Linked DNA regions of Coturnix japonica. The protein of the gene in region 2 binds, or shares a complex with, the protein of the main gene of each other region. Links are inferred from orthologs where the notes say so. Each region holds a gene or a part of one and is shown on either strand. Other genes may lie near its edges.

Region 1 (6,782 bases), on a different chromosome or scaffold from region 2:
CTGTATCCCCTCCCCCATGGTCCATTGGATGGCTCAGTCCATGGCTGTATCCCCCCCATGGTCCATGGGATGGCTCAGCCCATGGCTGTGTGCCCCCTGATCCATCTGATGGATCAGTCCGTGCCCCCCCTTCCTCTCAGGGCCCCCCGGTGTGCGCATGGTGTGTGGCACAGCTGTGTTTGTCTCCCCTGCAAATGAGAGTGGAACATTCCTCCCCCCTCAACTGAGCATGGTGCTGGGGGGCTCGGGTGCAACCACTGTGTGGGTGGGGGGGTGCTGAGGTGCTGCTGCCCCCCAAAGCCTCGCAGAGCCCCTGCTCACACCCCAATGCTAATCAAGAGTAGGATAGCATTAATACAGAATGAGTCCACTGGCCCGATCTCCCTTTGCCATTGGAGCTGTGCCCCCCCTGGGCTCCCTGGTAACCCCCCAGCCCGGTTTGGGGCCTGAAGCCCCCTCCCACAGTAACACGCATGCCTTGTTTGTCTCCCCCTGCCCGCCCCGGCGCCTCGGGACGTAGCGAAACAGAAGCAGAAATCGGTGAGTAGCGTCGAGAGCCCTGGGTTTGGGGCAGGAGAGGAGGGGGGAATGGGTTTGCTGCCACTCCTGGGGCCTCCCCATCCCTTGGCATCACCTCGGGCTCCTGCTGTGCCCCCTGGCCCAGCGTGAGCCCCCTGACCCCCTGATGCTGCCCCACAGACTGAGCACGTGCCGCCCTACGATGTGGTTCCCTCTATGAGGCCCATCATCCTGGTGGGGCCATCGTTGAAGGGCTACGAGGTGAGGAGCGGGGCTGGGGGGGGAACCCAGGGTGGGGGACACACAGAAGATGATCACAGCAGTTCCATGCGTTCCTCCTCCCCTCCCACAGGTGACAGATATGATGCAGAAAGCACTGTTTGATTTCTTGAAGCATCGCTTTGATGGCAGGTGAGGCAGGAGGTGGCGGGGCCTTCTGCCACTTGGGGGGGCACTCAGTACCACTGGGGGGCCCTCAATCTCACAAGAGGGGCCCTTACCCCACAGGGGACCTCTAAGTCCCATTGAAGACTCATAGCTCTATGGAGGCCCTCACCCCCTTCCCTGGTTTGAGTGGGGTCTGCCCCCAAGGAGGAGACTTGGGGGTAGCTCCCAAGAGCTGGGGGGAGGCTCCTGTGGGAAGCAGATGTTTGATGGGGGTATTTGGACCCCCACCAACCTGTGTCCTTCCCATAGGATCTCCATCACGCGGGTGACAGCCGACATCTCCCTCGCCAAGCGCTCTGTGCTCAACAACCCCAGCAAACACACCATCATCGAGCGCTCCAGCACACGCTCCAGCCTGGGTAAGGCAGGTGCAGCATCTCAGCCACCCCCAAGCTCCCATCTGTATCAGCCCAGCAGCCTCCTGCTCCCATCCCCTCCCTCCTGGGACGCTCAGTGTGTGTCCCTCCTTCCTGCACAGCCCCTCCACACTATGGGGTGATGGGTGCGTGGGCCAAAGGGCACCTGGGACCCTCGGCTCCCACTCTCAGTTTGACTCAGTCTCTCTTCCCCTCCTCCTTTTTACCTTCTCTCTCTCTTTTCTTTTTCTTTCTTTTTTTTCTTTTCTCCTTTCCCTTTTGGGGTTCCTCCCCTCTGCACCGCTTCCTTCCTCCCCTGCTCCTGATACAGATGTCTTGGGTATGTAGCGTGTGCTCCTCGGGTAACGTGGGGTTGGGGACAGCAGGGGGTGCAGCCCCAAGGGTCCCTGTCCCCCCCCAACCTGCAGGGTCTGAGCGCAGCCTCTGCAGGCACCCACCCAATGCATGTGTCTGGGGGGGTCTCAACCCCTTCCTGCCCCAGCAGTGCCACCTCCCATCCATGGGCTGGGGTGCTGCTGGTGTGGCTGAGCCTCTCCTGGCCCCATCCTGCTCCCCACACCCACATCTCCAGCAGCTGTCCCTGCAGCCCCCCCTGTGCTGTCCCTGTGCCTTCATGACCCCCTTCTGTCCCCCCACTCTGGCAGCTGAGGTGCAGAGTGAGACGGAGCGCATCTTCGAGCTGGCCCGGACCCTACAGCTGGTGGCCTTGGATGCCGACACCATCAACCACCCAGCCCAGCTGGCCAAGACCTCCTTGGCACCCATCATTGTCTACATCAAAATCGCTTCCCCAAAGGTGAGGGGGGGGCCGTGGGGTGGGCAGGTGTGGGACCGAGGTCCCTGTGCCCCCCACCCCCCACCGCCCTCCATTCTGCCCCAGGTGCTGCAGCGATTGGTGAAGTCCCGGGGCAAATCCCAGGCCAAGCACCTCAACGTGCAGATGGTGGCCTCCGACAAGCTGGCTCAGTGCCCCCCTGTGAGTGCCCCCCGCCCCCCCCCCGCCTGCCCCTGTAAGCCCCCCCCCCCCCTCACACTGCACTCTCCTCCCCCCCAGGAGATGTTTGACATCGTGCTGGACGAGAACCAGCTGGAGGAGGCCTGTGAGCACCTGGCCGAGTACCTGGAGGCCTATTGGAAGGCAACTCACCCCCCCAGCAGCAACCCCCCCAACCCGCTGCTCAACCGCACCATGGCCACAGCCGCCCTGGCCGCCAGCCCTGCGCCCGTCTCCAACCTGCAGGTACAGGTGCTCACCTCCCTGCGCAGGAACCTGGGCTTCTGGGGCCGTGGGGGCACCGACGCCACCCCCAGCCCCCAGGAGGAGCACGCGCTGTGAGATGGAGGCAGGGCACCCGTGGGACCTCCCCCAGGGGTCAGGGACACCCCCAAGGGTCAGGGGCACCCTGTGTTTTGGGGACACCCCAGGGAACAGCTGCATCCCTGGGGTTGCCCCCCTCCTCCAGGGCTGTGCTCCCTGCTCCATGGTTGATGCCACCCCTGTGCCCCTGGAGTCACCCCCCTCCCCTCCCTACTGCCCCAGGATCTGCTCCCCCACCCCAGGTTTTGGGGCCATCCATCCCCCTGTGGTGAGGTTCTGCTCTCCCTGGATCAGGGTCACCCTTTGGGATCTGCCCCCTGGGGTTGGAGTCTCTCTGGGGATCCATGTCCCCTCCTCACAGCTCTGGGGAGCTCTCCTGGGTTAGTTCCCCAGGGAACTTCTGGGGGGGTTGAGCCCCTGGACACCCCTGACCCCCCTGGGTCTGGCAGAAGAGACCATGTCCAAGCCAAGGGGGGCCCGCAGCCCCCCCAGGGCAGCAGGCAGAGGAAGGACGTGTGTCCTGTGTTGTCTGTCGCTGCACTGCCCCAACCCCACCACCTCCCTGTTGCCCCCCATACCCTCTCACTGCTCTGGCCCTGCCCTGGTGCCCCCTCCCCGGTGCTGGATGAGACCCACATCTGGGCTGCATGGCACGGAGTGTACAGACCGGGCTGGGGTGGGAGCGCATGTGCCCCCCCCTTACTCACCAAGCCCCGCAGTGTGCAGCATCTAACAACCCCCCCCCTCACTAACCCATCCATCAGTCCTTGCACGGTGTGGTTGCTTCTCCCAACCAGGGTACCTACCTGGTGCACGGGGAGCCGCCGGGCGAGGGGAACCTCCGGGAGGGGGGGCCCATCCCACCGCCTGCCCGCTCGGCCCCCCCCCGCCGCCTGTCCCGCCAGGACACCTTCGACTCGGAGACCCCCGGCAGCCGGGATTCAGCCTGCACAGAGCCCGGCAACTCCTGTATGGACGTCGAGACCGATCCCGGTGAGGAGGACCCCCGAGCCCCCCCAGCCCATCGCGGTGCGTGGGATGAGGAGCGGGGCCAGGGACCACGGGGACGTGCCAAGGGCCACGACCGCTACTGCCCGGAGCCGACGGAGCCTTTGGGTCTGGACCAGAGTGATGCAGAGGGCTGGGGCCAGGAGGTTTACATCCGCTAGGGTGGGGGGGGTGTAAGCAGGGATGCCCCCTCCCCACTCTGCCCCAGTGCTGTGGCTTTGGGGCCAGGGGTTGCACCCCACTGGGTGCCTTCGCAGGCCACGTGCCCAATGCCTGTTCAGCTGTGCCATGGGGTGTCCCCCGCCCCACTTTTGGTATTGAGGAGGGAGTCTCCCTCCCACTGCAGCCCCCCCAGCATCCTGCGATGCCTCGGGCCTTTCCTGTCCCACAGGGAGAGCAAGTGACCAAAGGGGACATGCCTATGGCTGGTGTGTCCCCGTCCCCTATGGCACAGGGTGGGGGGCTGCGCTCTCCTCCCTCCCCAGCCCTTTGCCTGCTGCCTGCCCGCAGCCCCCTCCCCAGGGTGCACCCGCTTCTTCATGGTGCTCTATGCCACCCTGCTGCAGGGGGACCCCTGAGCTGGTGTGTGTTTGGGGGGGGGTTTCTCTGCCTGCTGTTCCCTCCCCAGCCAGTGCCTGCCCTGTAGCTGTGGGGGGGGTGCATGCGTGTGCCATGTGTGCAGGGTTTTGGGATCCCCACTGGGTGCTGCCTGCCTGGGGTGGGGAGGGGGGGGGGGCATGGTCTTTGCATGTGTTTGCATTGGAATGGGGGTGGGCTTTGCCTGTTTTTGGTGTTAGGGGGTGAATCTGAGCCAATCTGGGTGGTGGTGGTGGGGGGGTGTTTCTAACACGTGCTAACAGCTGCCCCAGCCCTGGCCTGACACAGTGCCCAGCAGGTCCCGGGGGGGGTCCTGTGCTTACCCCTCCCTCCCCCCCCCTTTTCCTGGGACCATGGGGCGCACTGAGCAGCACCAGGCCCTGCCCCCCAGCCCTGCCAACCCCCTCTGTGCCACCCCCTTTCTGTGCCCATCTGCTCTTTCCCCATCCAGCTGTGTCTGTGTGCCTGTCTGTCTGTCTGTCTGTCTGTCCCCCACCTCAGCTCCCCAGGGCCCTGCCTTCACCTGCGCCCACCCTGGGGTGTCCCTTATCCCTCTGCCCCTATAGGGGTCACAGCACTGCAGTGGGAACACCCCATGGCCAACCCTTGCAGTGGGGCTGGACTCACCTCTCACCGATGCTGTGGGGTGGGGGGGCCCTGGTGTTGCTGCCTTACCCACACCACCAGCCTTGCCAGCCCGGGCCGGGGGGGCTCCGGGGCTCTCAGCTCTGCCGCTGCCAAACCAGCTCTGCCCGTTGTGTGCCTCAGTTTCCCCTTTAATGCTGGGGGGGGGGACTCGGTGTCACTGCCTGCCAAGTGCTTTGAGACCCACCTGCACCGGTGCTGACCCCACCAGGGCCGGGCAGCTGGGCCCCCCCCCACCCCCCTTTACAACCCCCAGCCCTCCTGAAGGGCAGAGGGACGTCCCGTATTTATGTCATCCCCCCAAGTTTATTTAAAGACCCCCGACAAAGTGTCTTTTATTTATTTATTCTCCTTTAATGTGTGTGTGTGTGTGTTTGGGGGGGGGGGGACTCGCCCCGCTCGCTTGGTTCTTTGTAATAAACAATTCAGTGAGATCTCCCCTTGGCTGTGCCTGGTGGGGGTCCATCATTTGGGGGGGGGGTCCATCATTAAGGGGGGGGGGCTGAGACCATGCACAGCTCAGCTCTGCAATGACTGCAGCCTCCCCTGGGGGGGGTTGAGAGCAGCCGGGTCCTGCCCAGCTCCTGGGGGGGGACACGTCCTGCTTTATGGGGGCTGTACATCTATTTACATGGAATAAATACAGCGCTGCTGGCTCAGGGCTGCCGGCACCTCCATTCGCTCTTCTCTGGCCAATATTCAAACGCTTTCCTGCAGGGAGACATGAGGACATCAGTCCCTGCTTTAACCCCCCCCCCCCCTTGGTACATGGGGACATCAGACCCCTCCCCACGGGGCTGCTCAGAGCCCCCCATGGCCGTACTCACTCTCGTGGTGGAGGCGATGCTCGGCACACCAGCCCAGCCTGGCAGGGGCAAACCTGGTTGATGCTGAAGGCCAAACCCCCGGGGGGCACATGGCAGCTCTGCCCCAGCTCCAGCCGCTGCTGGCACAGCATCTCACCGTGTCTCCGTGCACAGCAGCCGCCCGGCCCGCAGTCCTCATCCCTCTGGCACCGAGCTCCTTTGGGGTCGGGATAAAGAGGATGTTAAAGGGGTTAAGAGCCCCCCAGCCCCGTGCCATGAGCCCTTGGGGGGGTGGGTTGCAGTGTGTCCCGGTGCCCGCAGCAGCTCTGATGGAGGATAATGGTACCAACCCCGCCTCCATCGCATCCCTCCGCTCCCGGGGCTGCCCCCCAACCTCCCCCCTACCCCGACCCGCTGCTCACCCTCCTGCCCGTGGGGCACGGGCTGCTGGCACTTCCCAAAGGTGCAGAGGAGCCCGTGGGCGCAGTGTGTGTCCCGGCGGCAGTACTGCCCTGCGGGCCGGGTGGGCAGGCACAGCCCGAAGTGCTCATCGCAGAAGTGTCCGTGGGTACAGGGGGTCGTGGGGCCGCACGGTGTCACCTGCATTGGGGAGAGAGCAGAGCTGTGGGGTCAGGGGGGTCCGGATCCATCCCCACCTCTGGGATGGGTCAGAAATGGGTCCGGAGGGGCAGAACGGGGTGGGATTGGGTTTGGGTTCTGCTAATGGAGCCGGGGCTGCTCAGGGGGGTTATTTAGGAGCCTCGGGGTCCTCGGGCACCATCCCTGGAAGAAGGGCAGGATGAAGGAAAATAAAACCCGGAGCGTAACGAGCCGGGGGTGGGATTTGGGGTGGGGGATTCTCGAATCACTTTGTCAGCCCGTAAAATTCCTGCTCCAGGTGAGGCTCGAACTCACAACCTCGGCATTGCTCCGCGTACTGCCCTATAAGTACCGCGCGCTGACCGATTGCGCCACTGGAGCGCACAGTGCCGCCCGGGGACCCTGCGCCCCCTCCCGACCCGAGCCGACCCCGCAGCCACCATCATGTTATCCATTAATTATCCA
Region 2 (7,253 bases):
TAGAGCTCAGTACACCTTGTGTGTTTTGCTGCCAGAAAAATATATTAGATCCAGCTTATGAGGAGCTTGTATGCCAGTTATTACTGCTGATTACTGTACTACAGGAAGTGGAGAAAGAAACAGTGAAAGCTCTACAGATATTCTCACCAAATCTACAAATAGAATCTGACCAGATTCTATGCCCATTTGTGCATTGTGAGTCACATCTGTAGCAAGGCTTTTCGTCGCACTATCTAGTAAGACTGAAAGTGAATGAAGCTTTCTACCCAGATGTGACACGTTATATGAATATCAGGTTTTGCATTAGTCCAGGAAGTGCTACATAGGCAGTCCAGACGTGCTCGTTTAAAGCTGCCTCGTAGTAATTTCAGTTGTCCAGTTTAACTTGCCACTTTATGTTTGTCAGAACCCTAAACAATTGATATCGATTTCCTATATTTCTACACTGCAAAGACTTCTAGTAGGTGGGATTAGAAGTCTTAAACAGAAGAATTCATCCTCTTGAGAGACTAATTCAGGTCCCTTTCGTTAACTCTTCCAATATTTCTATATTGTATATAAACATATACTGAATAGGTAACGTGTCCTGATTCTGCAGGAATGTTGGAAGACTGATTGATCCCACAGGTAGACTAATGGTAATATTTCTCTTGTAAGGAGCAGCTTGGTTAGAATATGAGAGATGTACTTCCCTAGAAAAAAAGACGAGACCACAGTAATAGAATTTGAGTGATGTGTAAAACTGAATATGGCATGAATAAGTGTCTGCTTTACCTTGAAATTTATTCTTGTTCTGTTATAAATTATATATTCTATAATTCAGTATTATACATCTCTTCTTGCTAACCAGATTTGGATGACTTTTTTCTGAAAGCTTGCCTGGATCAACCATTGACATTTGCTCAGAATACAAATGTGTGTGTTTTACCTGAGGTACTGTCCTTGGGAGACATTTTTCTCTTGGAAAAATAAACAAGTAGCTCCTCCTCCTTTGCCTCCCACCACCTCTCCTTTGATCAACATGACAAAAATTCATCCTGCCTCCAGCTGGGCAGGAACAGCAGCCGAGGTCAGGATTGTCCTCTAGGGATGTTATTCACCTCTTACTGAAACCTCGGTTTTGCTGAGAACAGTCAAATTCTAATGTTATATATTAAAATAACGTCCTAACAGATGTTATTTTTCCTTTTTTTAAAGGAAAATATTCATACCAAAAGTACATTAACGTTGCAGTGTTGTTTCTAAAATCAGAAAATTAAGTTGACTGACAGGATTAACAGTCATGTTGCATGCATGTTTTTAAAAACCTGTTTTAGCATCTGTGGGCCTTAAGTGTCTTATAGTTGGTTGTATGCAAATTTTCTCCAAGCAAATTTATCCCTTCTTGTTTATTTACTTGTCTGTTGCATAGTGACTGTACATTTTGATATTTTTTGTCTTATAAGGAGCTTGTACGCCAATTACAACTGCTGATAATTGTACTACAGGAAGTGGTATTGCTTTTCACTTTCATGCTTAAAACCACAAAGTAGTTGTATTTCTATATCAAATGTTGGCCTTTCTCTCTCACATACTAATTTTCAAGGCTACCTACAAATCCCTAAAGTTTACCTGTAGAGATGTAAAAACAATATGATAACATTATAGCATAATTAAACCGTATTTTGCACGCGAGTGTAGATGGGTGTGCAGTAGTGCTGGCCTAAGACAGGAGACTTCTAAGGCCTGTCTTTTCTCTAGCAATTAGCTAGCATGCATGTTTTAGAGTGTACAACCAGATGAATCTGGTTTTGAAATCTATAGCTAAACTCTGCTTGATGCCATGGAAATTGATTGGATTTTTACAGTGTGACCTCTGAAAAGGGACAGGATTAATTGGTTGTTTATTTGTTAAGAAATGATGTGTTTGTGTGTGTCTATATATACATATACATTCATACATATGTATATATGTGTATGTATGAATATATGTATGTATGTGTATATATGTGTATGTATGAATATATGTATGTACATATACATGTACATACACACACACACATATATGTGTGCATATATATATATATATATGTATGAAAAAATTACTGGAAAATAAATAATCAGCAGGTTTTGGTTGATCCTGTTTTCCAGTATGCTGGATTTTTTGTTCTCATCATGAAAACTAAGTGTAGTTCAGTGGTTGTAAGTTGAGGATTTTTAGCGTTTCAATCAAGAGAACAAATTGTACCATTCCCTTTTGTTGTTCTTGTGGGGTTGTTTTTGTGGGGTTTTTTAAGCAAAACTCTTTGTACTTCTGAAGTGTCTTTTTCCTTCTCTTTTTCTTATTCAACACACTTTCCTACAGATACAATATATTTGTTTTTCAGTGGAAATTGAAGACCTTAGCCTCAAGACATCTTTTCTAATGGGCAAAACCATATTCCCTTTCACCCAGCCCAGCCCAGCTCAGTTATACAGGATTTCAGTTCGGACTTTAAGGACAGTTTTGTTGTTTCCTCTTCACACGTCCTACGTAAGGATTTGCTTTCAGTTGTGGAAGACTTTGGCTGTGAAGAGCAAACAGTTTATAACACTTTGTGTTTGTGAAGTTGGTTTTCTCAGGCTAGTAGGTCCTGCAGCCATAATGACTGCAGCCATCTTTTTGCTCTATCAGTTTCAGTTGCGATGATGGTGATAAAAGGTACAAGGAAAGAAGTACAGTACTGCTAATGTAAATTTTCAACTATGTAGGATGATGGATTCCAATTTGAATATATATCATGAGAAGAAAAGCAGACTAAGGAGCTAAGGTAACAAAGCTTTTTAGTAGTTTTTTAGTGGCTGATAATTATTCTGAGTATGGTGGAATTCTTTCTGTCCAGGCAAGCAAATTGGTAGGAAAAATGTATGGAATAGAATTAAAGGCATCTATCAGGCATCCGGCAATTGTGGATGGTATTGTGGACAGAAAGGAAGGAGTCTCATACTGTGTATATCTGCTGAGCGGTCTTTGCTTCCCATTTATGGATATTGTCACATAAGCAACATCTTAGCTGGTCTGGACGTTTACTGCTGAGAGTGTACTGCCAGCACTGGGAATTCCGGACATCTCTTCAAGATAAGATAGGCATATGATGCAGTAAAACTCAAGAGTTAAAGTTGGAATGGATTTTTTCTACTTTTAGAGGGTTATCTTCATGTGACTACCTGTACACTCTGTCTTTCATACTTAACCACCCTGCACAGCATAAAATACTAGATGTTTCCAGGCCACTGTAAATGCATTATGTGACAGATTATATTGTAGAACTAGTTGGTTTTTAGACTTCACTCCCATACACAATAGGTATATACTTAATACTTTGAACTTTTGTATGTTCTAAATCTCTTAGCCTCTTTATTTTCTCGTTCCTTATACCACTGTGCCTTTCTTGTGCCTTTAGTTTTTACTCCAGTGCGAAAGTGGTAGTGAAAAAGCAACTTTCAACGTATGCTCAGAAGACAGTATGTTAACAAGAGAAGCTTTCTGTTTGCTCAGCTCCACAGATGTGAAAATTACCAAAACTGCCTAAATCTTGCCACACATACAGGAATTTGCAGTACCTTATCCCCACCTATTTACTGACATTACCAGTGCTATTCCATACATCATACAGACTGTTCTGTTTATGTAGAAAGCGAATACTTCTCCATGCAGATAGATACCAGTACGGTTTGCATGCACACGAATGTATAGTGCTCCCTTACCTCCAGGTTTGATGTAGAAGCAGTTGAGCTGAGTTTCATGCACCAGCTTCCCCTTGTACTTCGTTTCAGATTCCCCTTGCTGGTGGCTGGATAGCGGTTGGTATGCTTGCCGAACCAAGGCTTGAAACATAGTTTAAAATTCCAAGGAGCTGTGAAACCACCGAGCTTGAATATATTTTCTCAGTATAAAGGAGGTAAATTCCTTTTAGACAATTGTTTCCTAATGCAGAGTTATTTTATGTAACAGCCTTGTGCAAAACCAAAAACCAGAGCTACCAACAACTTGGTTCTTTCATCTAGAAACTACTTTCCAGCTCTCTGACGCCTTCGCAATATCTAATGCACTGTTCTTCCTTTCCTTGCTCCTCTCTCCTAATCCTTTTTTTGTCTTGTGTACCTTATGTTCCGTTGGAGCCTTCTCCTCCCCTTGTGGTTTTTCAGGAAAACTTTTTCAGGACTGAGAAGTGGAGATAATGGGCGCCATCCACCCGTCAGCTCGTCACCTCACGGAGCCATGGCGATCTCTGGTTTCTGTGTATCAGCACGGACTTCTCTGATAATATCCTCTTGTGTTTGAAAAAAATAGGTTTGTCTAACAAGGGGTGGACTTCAGTCCTGACATAGCCAGAAAACTTCTCTTGGAATGTGAGCTTGCTCGCTCTCGCTCTTTTATGTGTGTGTGTGTATATATATAAAAATATTTGTAACCTTCTCTCAAAACACGAAAGATAAATATAGGAACAAGTGTATCCCACAGTACATATACAAGCTGCCCACTTCTGTCTATTACTGATTTAATACAAGCTCTTGAGTGCCTCATCAGCTCCGTCTTCGTCAAAACAAGCCTTAAATCATAAATAAGCAATATTCTTCAATTACAGGAGGAGAAAAAGAAACCCTTTGCAAGTATAAGATAGCATACCCTTTAAAGGACAAGGAATGTGTTACATACAGAAAGCCGGTGTTAGTGTTCCAGTGGAATTCCACTAAGACTGCAAATGCAGTGCTGCTTTTTTGTCTAAATTGGCATACAAACTACGAAGTGTGTTGGGCTTAGTATTTGGTATCTGCTCTACTTTAATGGCTCTGGTTGCAACTCCTTTGTTGATTTTGCAGAGCAGAGCTTGTTATGGTAAAATTTGATAAAATCTAAAATCTCAGTGGAATAAAATATTTTTTTTTAATCAGTCTTCACCAAAAATGAGGCTTGTACCTGCTAGCTTCATTATTTTGGTCGTATGTACTCCTAAGCCTCTTAGAGCCTCTTGCAGTAATCCTTTTGCATAGCAGAGAGATTATTTATATGAATAAAAGCAGCCAGAGATCCTGTAGCCAGGAAGAAAAAAAAAGTGATGTAAGACACATGCTTTGGGTCAGAAGTCAACAGCAGAGGGACTATAAAGGTTCTTCCTGTGAATCATCTGGTGCTGCTCATTGTCTTAGACAGGATATAGATTTTAAGTTTGATGAACTCCACCGATTTTTTTTCTCTCTGCCAAACAAACTGCCTTTCTGTAAAATTTCAGGTTTATTTGCTTTATGACATACGGTACTAAATCTTCTACGCAGGAATGTGTAGCATCTCTCAGTAGACAGGTTTTCATAATTAGAAAAGAAGGAACAATGTCTTTTTATGTAAAGTATGGTACCTGCTCGCAGTGTTTTGTTTCTTTTTAAATTGTTGTCTCTCTCCTTTTGTGGTGGCTTTTAGTTTTTCCTGGCTTGTCTTTATTGCACAGAAAACAAAGTTAAGGTTTAGATTGACACTAAGAGTTAAAAGCAGGAGGAGGGGACAGAATGAGGAAGCAAAAGATGATTTTAATATTTTATTCCTAAAGGATCATACATGTGGTGTAGTACTTCCAAAGTAAAATCAAATGATGCACTTTCACTTTCTGTATGAAAATATGCCATTGCTGTAATGAAGATCACCCAGTGCACAGTTACGGTTTTAAATCTGTGCTGAAACGTACCTCTAAATTCTGTACTCAGCAGCTCATGAATTTTAGGGTTTGCGCCAGTGCTGTTTCAGTATTTTGAAATCTCTAGATGCAAATATAAAATTAATTTTATAATTTGTGATGCTGTCACCTGTTGGATTACATGCTTAAAACAAGGACATTGTATCGGTTTAAATTATTTTTGCCATGACAAACTTGATTTTAGAAGTATGTTCTGTTTCTCCCACTGTACAAGAACTTACACTTGTGTTGGAAGAAAGTAGAAAAGTCACTGAACTACTATGGAAAGCAGAATAATTAACTTCAGTGGTTAAAATTGCTTTTAGAAGATGTGCATGTATATGGTAAAAGAAAGAAAGCGTAAGGTAGTTCAGAGAGGCGGCACTTCTGTCTTTATGGAAGAAATAATGATGTTGCAACTTACACAAGAAAATAGATCATAAGGTATTCTTTAAACACTTGTTTAAATTTATATCCAAATGATAAGATGTGATGATCCTTCCATTTTGAACAAGTGAAAGTGCAGCAGTCATATGTGAGTGATAAATGCTACAAGGTGCAGATGTCTATTGAAGCCTGACTTGAAAGTATAGTCTACTCACAAGTGTGAACCTACCACAACTGGAATAAACTTAATACTGTTCATCTGAGATTTTGTGAGAGTAGTAAAAATCTTTGCTGTGTCAGTTGAATTGTATTGTATTCATCTAAATTAGATGTATTTAAGAATTTCCAGCAGCAACTCTACAGAAGAGAGGGTGTTATTTAAGTCAGAGTCACAGCTGAGTATAGCAAAAAGGAATTGTCATGGAGAAATAGAGAATATTATTAATGTGTTGAATATTACATGTTAACAGGATGGGAAAAATCGGCAAAAGCAAATATTTAAGATATGCTGTAAATGTGAATATCTGAAACTCCAAAAAAGTGGTGCACCTTACAGTTACTTATTTCTAAATGGTTTTTATATTTCAGAAATAAAGAGGTAGTGTAGAAAAAATGAGGAAGTTGCTTGTCCCTAAAATGATGGCAAATACAAATGAAAAGATGGAAAAAACAACTTGGTCATATTCTGGTATTTTTTAAGGTGTCTGTTCTTACAACAGCAAGTGTGTACATACATACGTACATATATATACGTATATTCAAACAGCTTAGACTTTAATTGTTGCAAATTAACAATTTTATTTCAGGTTTGCGAATGTATTTCCAGTCCATTTGGGGTCATCATTCAGATTATAATACACATTCAGGCTTCAGGGAGAAGAAAAAAATAATAATATGCTATTGAAAACCTTTTTAAAGTTAAAATATTCTTAATTCTTTTTTATTTCTTTTTAAGGAAAAAAATATATGTTTATAAATGATGTCAGCATTGTTTGGAAAATGACTTGCCCTTGAAACTGACTGTAGCTCTGGAAATAAAGGTTTGCTTTGACCCATGGCAAGTACATCAGAGATGCACACTGGAACATATTCTTCCATTGGACTAAATCATAAAGGAATACTCAAACCCATCTGTGTCCTCTACCACCCAATTGTGTATGTTATTTACAATGGAGAAAG

The links.
Region 1: CACNA1C (region 2) and CACNB1 share a complex: the UniProt entries of both Homo sapiens proteins name them as parts of the calcium channel complex. The link is inferred for Coturnix japonica from reciprocal best matches to the Homo sapiens genes CACNA1C and CACNB1.

Annotation. Positions count from the first base shown.
Region 1 is NC_029542.1:3,800,594-3,807,375, reverse strand, and holds the end of CACNB1 (voltage-dependent L-type calcium channel subunit beta-1), read left to right. Parts: intron 1-520; coding exon 521-540; intron 541-699; coding exon 700-780; intron 781-871; coding exon 872-930; intron 931-1,215; coding exon 1,216-1,325; intron 1,326-1,987; coding exon 1,988-2,139; intron 2,140-2,223; coding exon 2,224-2,319; intron 2,320-2,397; coding exon 2,398-2,583; intron 2,584-3,458; coding exon 3,459-3,830; 3' UTR 3,831-5,345; downstream 5,346-6,782. Other genes in the region: dickkopf-related protein 3-like, read right to left, coding at 5,568-5,622, 5,739-5,934, 6,140-6,317. UniProt on the Homo sapiens protein: Regulatory subunit of L-type calcium channels. Regulates the activity of L-type calcium channels that contain CACNA1A as pore-forming subunit.
Region 2 is NC_029516.1:51,535,284-51,542,536, forward strand, and holds the start of CACNA1C (voltage-dependent L-type calcium channel subunit alpha-1C), read right to left. Parts: upstream 4,363-7,253; 5' UTR 3,857-4,362; coding exon 3,727-3,856; intron 1-3,726. UniProt on the Homo sapiens protein: Pore-forming, alpha-1C subunit of the voltage-gated calcium channel that gives rise to L-type calcium currents. Mediates influx of calcium ions into the cytoplasm, and thereby triggers calcium release from the sarcoplasm.